Linked DNA regions of Saccharomyces cerevisiae S288C. Changing the gene in region 3 together with the main gene of any one other region gives a genetic interaction. Each region holds a gene or a part of one and is shown on either strand. Other genes may lie near its edges.

Evidence for each region.
Region 1: mutations in DAL2 (region 3) and NCE101 together harm fitness more than expected from each alone (negative genetic interaction), as found in Saccharomyces cerevisiae (2 studies listed by BioGRID).
Region 2: mutations in DAL2 (region 3) and CYS4 together harm fitness less than expected from each alone (positive genetic interaction), as found in Saccharomyces cerevisiae (one large-scale study listed by BioGRID).

Annotation. Positions count from the first base shown.
Region 1 is NC_001142.9:49,607-52,530, reverse strand, and holds NCE101 (Nce101p), read left to right. Parts: upstream 1-2,087; coding exon 2,088-2,119; intron 2,120-2,262; coding exon 2,263-2,392; downstream 2,393-2,924. Other genes in the region: RCY1 (Rcy1p), read left to right, coding at 1-1,902; YJL206C (uncharacterized protein), read left to right, coding at 2,596-2,924. UniProt on the Saccharomyces cerevisiae protein: Involved in a novel pathway of export of proteins that lack a cleavable signal sequence. May be part of the export machinery or may also be a substrate for non-classical export.
Region 2 is NC_001139.9:796,546-800,307, reverse strand, and holds CYS4 (cystathionine beta-synthase CYS4), read right to left. Parts: upstream 1,766-3,762; coding exon 242-1,765; downstream 1-241. Other genes in the region: GTO1 (omega-class glutathione transferase), read left to right, coding at 2,440-3,510; YGR153W (uncharacterized protein), read right to left, coding at 3,563-3,762.
Region 3 is NC_001141.2:408,686-412,343, reverse strand, and holds DAL2 (allantoicase), read right to left. Parts: upstream 1,538-3,658; coding exon 506-1,537; downstream 1-505. Other genes in the region: DCG1 (Dcg1p), read left to right, coding at 1-308; DAL4 (allantoin permease), read right to left, coding at 1,969-3,658. UniProt on the Saccharomyces cerevisiae protein: Utilization of purines as secondary nitrogen sources, when primary sources are limiting.

The DNA.
Region 1 (2,924 bases), on a different chromosome or scaffold from region 3:
AAGGCTGATTTGCCTCCCAGTTTAACGGTTTTGCCGTCTAATGATGAATTATTTTGGGCCGAACAACCAAGGGAAGAGGACAGCGGTGGGAGTACCGTGATATTTAATTCTAAAAATTTAGATACGTTTCTCAATCAGCTAAGGGATTTCCTCAACGAAAAGATTAAATTAGCGGACATTTTATTCAAAGATGAGTTCCCTGTAATATTACAGTTCATCGAGTCCTTTATCCAAGATATTTTATTAGATATTTTAAACAATATCTTATTAAGCTATAGTGAATTTTTAAAAGAAAATGGAAAGGATAGTAAAGCCAATTATGAATGCGTACCCGAACTTTATTTCACATTTATAAAAAAGTTTGATACTGAATTAAACGACTCAGTAAACGCAGGCGCAAATTTCCGTAAAGTTGTTCGTGACCTTTTAAACCTGTATCTCGAGCCCTTTGTTGTCAACTATATGAATCAGACAACTAGAGTATTTGAATCATTGATCAACTCACAATTAGCTAATTATGACACACAAGTTCAAGACAAGCAGCGTGAGCAAAACGCAAAAATTTATAACACTTTAAAAGATCAAACGGATGCTTCGAGTGCAAGTAACAATGAATTGCCGAATGACCTCTCAATAATTACTGAAACCTCCAAAACTGTCCCAGAAGCGGATTCAAAACCAAGTACGATCCATCAATCAGTTCATTCAACTGATATTTCTAATGATAAACTAGACTTTCTAAGTTCCTTCACCAAGATTTTCAAGTTCTCGAACAATGAAAATCAAAGGCTAAAGCAACAACTACAACTAGCCTACAACTTAAATTTAATTTCCAATAACTTGCAAAACATTAAATCGTTAATAAGTCTCGATTTATGTTACAAAATTTTACAGGAAACAAGCGAAAAGACGGATCAAATTTACAAATTTCATACGATTGAAAGTTTGCTACCATTGATCAAGCTACGCTGTCAAGAGATTTTCAAAATTTTAATTACACAATTGAATAAAAATCACGTTAAACCTGCATTTGAAAAGGCAATCCTGCTACTACAAAAATATAATCCTAACGAAATAGAACAAATAGAAATAAAATTCAATTCACTTTCGCCAGCCAATACTCAAGTCGAACCTTTAGTACAATTCACTGAACTTATCAATATAGGTGACATAATATTACAAATGATTTCCATTTTTTACAAGAACGAATTGATTCCCAAAAAAATTATCGATAAAAATAAAGATTTTCTTAATGATGTTATCCAATTAAAAAAAAATTTTGAGACTTCTATCGATGATTTTGTAGCCGAAGGTTTAAATATCGGTATAAACAAACTAATGGATGAAATCTCATTTGTATTCAAGACTCTTCAATTGCCTGACGATTATAATCCACCGCCACCCTCTAGGAATTCTCCAATAAGGGATATAAAGCCAACCAAATGTGCTATCAGGGTAGTCGAGTTACTTTCTAATCATTGCTTTCTACTGACTGGTGCCACAGACAAGGGTACTATTGACGTGTACCAACAAGAAATTGGCGAGAGATTCTTTAATGAAATCGTCAAACATCTGAAGAAGTGCTTCATATCTACGGAGGGCGCAATTTGGTTAATCTGCGATTTAAATTACTTTTACGATTTTATTGCTAACAAATTAAAACAAAAAAATGTTGTTCCCTATTTTGTTGGGCTTAAGTCTATTGGCCAGTTATACATCATTTCAGGCAAGGACTCGAAAGAGTTGGGAAAGCTTATTTCTGATCTTGGGAAATTCAATGGCATTTTTACGCAAGAGGAAATTTATGAATTTGTTCAGAGGAGAAGCGATTGGGTTCGTGTACGGAAAGACGTTGAAAAGGTAATGTACGGCCTAGGCATACGAGATTGCTGCATTATGTAAATTCCTATCAATGATTAATTATATTACTCTATATAGGTATGAAGTGCGGAAATAAAAGACTGTTCACATATTAGATTATTCAAGATTACGCGGGCTCTATTTTTCCCTGTTAGCCACACGCACACAAGGGGCATACAAATGTTCACTCCATTTATAAGAGGATTCCACACAAGATCATCGATAACATGGTTCAGTACGCTCCCTTTCTATTAGGAAAGTATGTTCATTCTTCATACGCTATTCTATTTTTTTTTTTTTCACACTTATTCTTTTACTAACGCATAGTTAACCATTTGCTGTTTCGAAGAGGCAACATCAAACAAGTCGATGTGCTCTTTCCCAAGCTGGTCTCTATTGCAGATTTTCTGATCCGTTATTGGCAATTATGGTAGGCTGTCTCAGCTACTATGTGTACGAAAGGAAAATGGGGCGTCCACAAGGTCATCATTTACACGAGCTCATAAAGAAGCGATGGGACGATCGCAAATAATAATCCGGCGTGAGGGGAGTATATATAAGTTTCTGGCGATATGTAAATACCATAATAATTAATCCTAGGATCTACCTTTATACGCATTTATCCTATAAAAACCCAATCTTTCAGATCCACAGTATTTTTATATGTGTGATTTCCTTGATTGTCTCAATTTAAAGAGTAATACATACAACTTAGACCAAAGAATTATTCAATAGATGACGCCGAAAGAATCTGGAAAGCCTATTTCGTGTGCAATGAAGAAGTTGAAAGGCAAGAGATCTAAGATTTTGGTTTTATCTAGAGATGCGGGCACCAACGAATTGAAGCCAACGAAAGGAAGAGCACATCGAGCTTGCATAGCTTGCAGAAAGAGGAAAGTACGATGTAGTGGTAATATACCATGTAGACTTTGCCAGACTAATAGTTACGAATGCAAATATGATCGCCCCCCACGGAACTCATCGGTATTTGATAGGGAAGTAAGCGATGATAGTTCCTTATATGCACAGAGAGCTTCCCACGAACGGGAAGATAGCAAGGGCCC
Region 2 (3,762 bases), on a different chromosome or scaffold from region 3:
TGTCGCTGTTTTTTTGTTTTTCTTCAGAGTCGGGTAAGAGCAATAAAGTGAAAAGTTAACAGATTCAAACACTGATGTGATGCATGCATGATAAGGAATTTGTAAAAATAATAGAACAATGCTGCTTCGTATAGGCGCTATTTAATTAAGTAGTTATATAAAGAGAACGGTGCAATTGAATAGGAAAGGAATGACGGATTTTGCTTCTATGTTTGCTTTTATTTGAAGCGTGGGTTCTTATTTATGCTAAGTAGCTCAGTAAATCCATCTTAGTAACGATATGGATTGGTTTCAAGCCATCAGTGATAACGGCAGATGAGTTTTTTTCAAAGAAACGATTCAAGTCAGATAGCTTTGAGTTTTCATCGAATTTAATAAACTTCTTCTTACCGGATTTATTTTCGTTGTAAGAGGAAACATCATTGAAATTGTTTAATTTCTTGAAGTCCAAGTATTTACCCTTTATAGTGTTGTCGTTGTTTGAATTATTGATTGATAGTTTTCTTAGAAGCTCAGAGAGAGTAACTAAACCAGACAACTTGCCGTCTTCAGTCAACACAGGCAATTGGTCAAAGCCATTGTCTTTTAATATCTTGATAACATCAGTGACCTTAGCGGTTTCCTTAACGGAAACAACCGGTTTCAAGTGAAGATCCTTTACAGTAGCGTTACCAAACACATCAGCGTATTTTGTCGTCGAAGCCTCCAGCTTTGAAGAGTCAAAACGGGCCAACACGTCATCATCCCACAAATTGTTCTTTTTCAACCATTCGTCATCGACGAATTTGGTTAGGTACGACCTGATGGAATCTGGGAATATGGCAACAATGACATCATCTTCAGTCAGTTCAGGGTGGTCTTCACAGTATTTCACAACCGCAGTGAAGGCAGAACCGGAAGAACCACCCACCAAGACACCTTCGTTAGAAATCAATTGTCTGGCGTATTTGAAAGAAGGCTTGTCGTCTGTCTTATACCAAACATCAATTAATTTTCTGTCCAAAACCTGAGGAACAAAATCATAACCAATACCCTCAACTTTGTAGTCAGTGATATCAGTCTTATTCAAGTTTTCAGGTTGGGCTAAAATTGAACCGAATGGGTCAGCACCAACGATTTGGATCTTATCATTCTGTTCTTTCAAGTACTTGGAAATACCGCTAATAGTCCCACCAGTACCAGCACCAGCAACAACAGCGCGTAGATTATCAAATAAATTCAAGTCTTCTAGCTGTCTTTGGATTTCGCGACCAGTACCAAAGTAATGAGCTTCTGGGTTCATCATATTGTTATATTGGTCAAGTATAACAGCACCAGGAATCTCTTTTTCCAACTTCTTAGCAACACCAATATGTGATTCTGGAGAATCCCAGGCAGCAGCAGTTGGAGTTCTGATGATTTCAGCACCCAGAGCCTTTAGGACAGAAACTTTCTCGTTAGACATTTTTTCCGGCAAGGTGATGATAGTTCTGTAACCTTTGATGGCGCCGATTAAAGCTAGACCGATACCGGTGTTACCAGAAGTAGGTTCGATCAGAGTAGATCTGGAAGGATGAATTCTACCGGAAGCTTCAGCTTCTTCCACCATAGACTTGGCAATTCTGTCTTTGATGGAACCACCTGGATTGTATAGTTCCAGCTTAGCATAAATTTGTGGTTTGATACCCAAAGCCTTAGGCAATTTTTTCAGTGCGATCAATGGGGTGTTACCAACTAAGTCGATAACGTTATGTCTTGAATCGGCTTGCTGCTCAGATTTAGTCATTTTTATTCTTACGTCGTATTTATCTAGATGTCCTTTGAGCAAGTGGCCTACAACGAAATCTTCAAGTGTTGCCTTTTACTTTGGCATAGAAGCATCACGACATTTATATATACAAGCCTGGTGAAGTGCCTTGCGTTTACTTTAACCTTTAGGAGAAAAAAATTTTCGGTGTTGGTTTCTTTTTTTCCTTTCGGTGCAAAACTGTGGAGGAAGATGGCAATAAATTAGTGAAACGGTAATGCCGTGTGGACTGCATATGCCGGATATAGCATTTATCAGTCACGACAGAGCTGATTATCCTTACTTGGGTGAAGTTGAAGTTGTTGTGATAAGGTTAGAATGCAAATGAAGCTTTGTCAGCGCTGAGAAAGAAAATTTTGTTTTGTGAGCCACTACTATCACGTGCCATTACCATTTTAATCAGTTATGAAATAGGGGAATGTGTCATTGAGGGAAAATGTAATGGCCACCAAATGAATCAGAGGGTCGGATGAGAACACACCCTTACTAACTGCTGTTCATATCTCACAGTTGCCATTGATAAGCTCTGGTGGGAAAATACCCTTGATTTTTGGTAGCACATATTGACATAACAAAAGTCTTGACTTTGCCAATTGGAGAGATGGCCACTTATAGAGGAAAATACTCGTAAAAATAATCATAAACAGTAAGCCATGTCAGTATCTTACAAGGGAACAATTTCTAAGACACATTCTGTTTTTAAACCAGAAAAAGGAAGGTATTATATTTACGGGGCCCTTGGGTGTCCATTCACTCATAGAGCCATTCTTGCCAGGTCTTTGAAGAAATTAGAACCTGTTCTAGGGCTTGTGTTATCTCACTGGCAATTAGACTCCAAGGGTGCCCGTTTCTTACCTGCTCCACACCGGCCGGAAAAATATAAAGAGAGATTCTTTACTGCCACTGGTGGCATTGCTTCAGCTAAATTAGACGAATCTGAGGAGTTAGGTGATGTGAACAATGACTCTGCAAGGTTGTTCGTGGATGGCGCTTTCGACCCGGTGGAAAATATATCAAGGTTAAGCGAGTTGTACTACTTAAATGATCCTAAGTACCCCGGTACAAAGTTCACTGTGCCTGTTCTGTGGGATTCTAAAACAAGGAAAATTGTTAACAATGAGAGTGGCGATATCATAAGAATTTTGAACAGTGGCGTGTTTGATGAATTTATCCAAAGCGAAGAAACGAACGTGATTGATCTAGTTCCGCATGATTTAATAGACGAGATTGATAAGAACATCAAATGGGTTCATCCGAAGATTAATCTTGGTGTCTATAAAGTCGGATTAGCAGAAAACGGAAAGATTTACGAAACTGAAGTAAAAACACTGTTTGAAAACTTGCAGAAGATGGAATGTGTACTAAAAGAAAATTATAAGCGCTTAGAGGAGCAATTCAGTGGTAACAAACAGAAAATCTTGGCTAAATATTTTGTTTTAGGACAGAGGTTAACTGAAGCGGATATCAGATTGTATCCATCAATAATTAGATTTGACGTCGTGTACGTGCAGCACTTCAAATGCAATTTGAAAACTATAAGGGATGGTTTCCCGTACCTTCATTTGTGGTTGATTAATCTATACTGGAATTACGCAGAGTTTAGATTTACTACAGATTTTAATCATATTAAGCTCTTTTACATCAGGATGGAAGTAAGTAGGAACAAGATCAATCAGTTTGGTATAGTGCCATTAGGCCCAAAGCCTGACATTTCTAGATTATGAAAACTTCTAATATTTTCTTACACACACATATATTTATATGCATGGCTATACTTCAAAAGAGGTTGTCACTTCCATTTCCATGTAGGTAAAACTCGTGTATAGACGGAACACAGACTTCCCTAGTTTTATTGACTTCATAGTCTCTGCACCATTCAATTATGTCTCTGTAAAAGAGACTCTTCTTTATATCGCCCTTTTCTATATTCTCCATCTCCAGTTCTTTGAAGCATTTTGCTTTTCTCGATTTATGAC
Region 3 (3,658 bases):
TGGAATCGAAATTCTTGACAGGGAATACAGTTAACAAAAATTTATGGAAAGGTACGGTATCTACTGATTTACAGGTCCTCGACCTACATAGTCCAGAAAATTTCCAGCAGATAGCAGAAATTATATATCGCGAAAATATTAAAAAGCTTGATTCAGACATTGTAATATTAGGTTGTGCAGGATTCTCGGGTTTGCAAAATAAACTGGCGAAAACATTCCAAAGGGATGGCACGCTGTTTCTGGACACGATTGAGATCGGTTTACAGATTCTAATCACTATGATAAGATTTGTCAACTCACAAAAATAAATAGAAATATGATTGTTTTTTATAGAGTGTAAATTTTAATGTTTTGTCGTGAAGAAGAAGAAGTAAATAAAGTAGCGTGGGGATAGCGAAATGAAAACATTCAATTATCAAAACAAAAACTTTTAACTACATTTATACCTTTACTTTTAAAGTGCCAAGAGTGCATTGGTTTAAAATATACAGTAGTTAAGTATTTATCAGTACCCCCAAACTCTTATTCTTTTCACTCCTCCATCTGGAATAATCGTTAATTTGACATGGGAGACTCTTATACTCTTACGTATTTCATACACATGTTCTTTGTCAGGCCCCGTCTTTGACTTACCAACTAGCTCTACCCATGTTCCTTCACCAGTGTTCTCACTTGATTCTGACTCCTTCAAGCAACCTTCCACGGTAATGAACTGAGGGAAGTTCCCCCTGAAGTGTGCCGTATCAACAATAATCTTCTCAATGAAAGAAGACTCCCTGCCCAGTTGAATTACCGCCCAATCAGTATGACCTGGTTGTCTCGATCTTTTGGTTTCCCAGCCGTCCGACATATCATGACCTCGACCTGGCAGTAGCAAATTATCAACTGAACCGAAGTGTTGGTCAGAATACTTTAAAGCGACAGCACCATTGCAAACATAAGCCAAGTCAATTATATGATCCTTCGTTTTGAGTTCTGGAGGAACAACTCTTCCGTATAATCTAAATCTGGCGATTCCTCCATCGGGGTACATCTTCAGCTTGATGTGAGTAAACCTTTCTTTAGTAAGGCCGTTGCCTCTAACGAAAAGATGCCTTTGCGAAGGACCACACTCAAATTTCTCAACAATCTCAACCCAACGCGAGTCATCTTCCACTATATTACCTTCTTCGCCCTCGTCATAGAGCGCCTCTATTGATACAAATGGTGCATGATTACCATTGAAAAACGCAGTGTCAATTTCACCACCAATAATATGGGCAGCAGCGACTCCCATCTTGATGATAACCCAATCGTATTCCATCTCATTATGTCTTCGTGTTTCCCAGCCGTCGTACCATGCGCCTGAATGAACAAATCTGGTAGGATCCCTTATAGGAGCAGTTGGCTGAATTAAATTTTCAGCAGAAGCAAACCATTCATCTGAAAAAGAAACCACTTGACCACCTAACTTAGATCCTATAACATCTACTGCTTTGTTTTTTGAAATGATTATTGACTTAAATTCTGCCTCATCTGCCAAACTAAAAAACTTCATTTTTCTAAAGAAGAGACCGATTAGATACAATTAATTGTTTGATCGGCTTCATAATTTCCCCATATCATAGCAAAATGCACTTCCATTCCTTTATAGCATTTGATCTCAGAAAATGTGTCTATAATTTAGACTTTTCTTCCAGCTGAATTTCATTGTGGTTCCTGTGTTTTTATCTTATCGCTAATTCGAGTCAAAGATAAGATGTCGGAATTATCCGGAGTTCTGATAGGCTCAAACAAGCGCAAGTTTGGTAGGTTGATGACGGTTTAGCTAATCATCAGTACATTATTCAGACGGGAATGCATGTATGAAGCTGATAAATTTGATTAAGAAAGGTACATAAAAATACACAGAACGAATATTAAGGTGTTTTGAAGAAATTATCAATTCTCCTGATCACTACTGGTAAGAGAATAAATTGGGATTTTTATTTAGTAAACTATCTTTTCCTCGGTGCCATCATAGATACTGACTGTGTCATCGCAGAGGTCATCCCTACGTAACTCATTCTTCCAATCTTGCTCGAAGTCCTCAACATAAGCCCATCTTTGGAACCATCCTTTCTCTGTCAGAAAATTGGTTACGGGAGTACCAGGGACAGGAAAAAAGTAACATAATATGAGGTATATCACCGCACTAATAAAGAAACCTACCGGATAACCTAAATAGTATAACCTCATTGCACCCTCTGAAACCGTAATTTTTGGAGCTCCAACATCACCTATAAAACCTGGTAAATTTGGAGCGATACCGCAAATATACGCAACAAAGGCCCTCCAATTGGCACCAAATTTGTTTCCAAACATGTAAAAGGAACCCTTCTGTGCCAGGAATAAATGTGTTAATTTCACATATCCTCTTCTTACTACGAAATAATCCGCGCAAATGACACCAGCAATACTGGAAAGGAAAATTGCATAAGCACCCAAAGCGCTGGTGAACTTACTTGAACTGGCCATTAAGTTCCATGGACAGATACATAGAGCCATTGCCACACAGAATAAAGAACCTCTTCTAATATTAATATATCTTGGAAACAAAGCCGTCATATCAGCACCACATGCCAGAGAGTTGGCAGAAATGTTTGTACCCAGTTGAGCTAAGGCAAATACAAAAGAAATCAAGAACACACCAGCCCTAGTACCTCTGGTGTAAGTGGTCTCCAAAAATTGACCAAGTACATCCAGTGGTGACCAATAGTTAACCCCATATAAGTGATAACCGGCCGCAGTAACAATGATACCGATCAAACATGTTATGGCGAAGAACAATGGGATGGCAACCAATTGTGGCCACAAAGACGCTTGAGGATTTTTGGCAAATCTACCGAAGTCAGGGGCGTTGATAATCAAAGCGGCAAAGTTAGCAACACAGGCCATTAGGGATCTAACGAATATCCATGAAAATTCGGAACCATGAGGTGAATAATCATTCAGCGTCCCCAACTCAATTTTACCGTGCGATTTCTTCAAAGCCCAGATTAAAAATCCAAAGGCTGCGAAGGGGATCAAAGCTGCTTTTACTGTGAATAAATGCCTGATTTTATGAGGAGCCACTAGGACAAATGGTATACTGACCACCCAAAATATAAAGAAACACATGAATTCAAAAGTAGTGCTATTTGGAGAACCAAAATGGTTTGGGATTCTATCTTCCAGATTCTTGCCAAAAATAGATTTTAGCATCAGTGCCACGGGCGTTGCACCTAACCAGGCTTGCACGGCATACCATACTATAGCCATCACGACACGATTTATAATCGGCCACATAGAAAAGAATATACCAAATGAGGCCCTAACAGTAATAGGGAAAGATAAGTGATATGCGGAACCAAATCTCGAGTTCAATACTACGAAGATACCTGCAAAAGTGTAGCCGATCCAAACTGTAAGCCAACATTGCCACCAATTCAGACCTAGTTGTAGACCTGTACCAGCTATTTGCCATGTGTTAATATTGAAACAGTCTGCCAGCCAGAAATATAAGTAATTGAACCAGGACCAACACCTTCTTTCTTCTTCAACCGGTTTCAAGTCTCTGTTATACAAGAACGACTCTTTCAACGAAACATTCAAAGTTGTCTTGTCTAACACAATGAAATCGTAGTATATTTTACTCCAG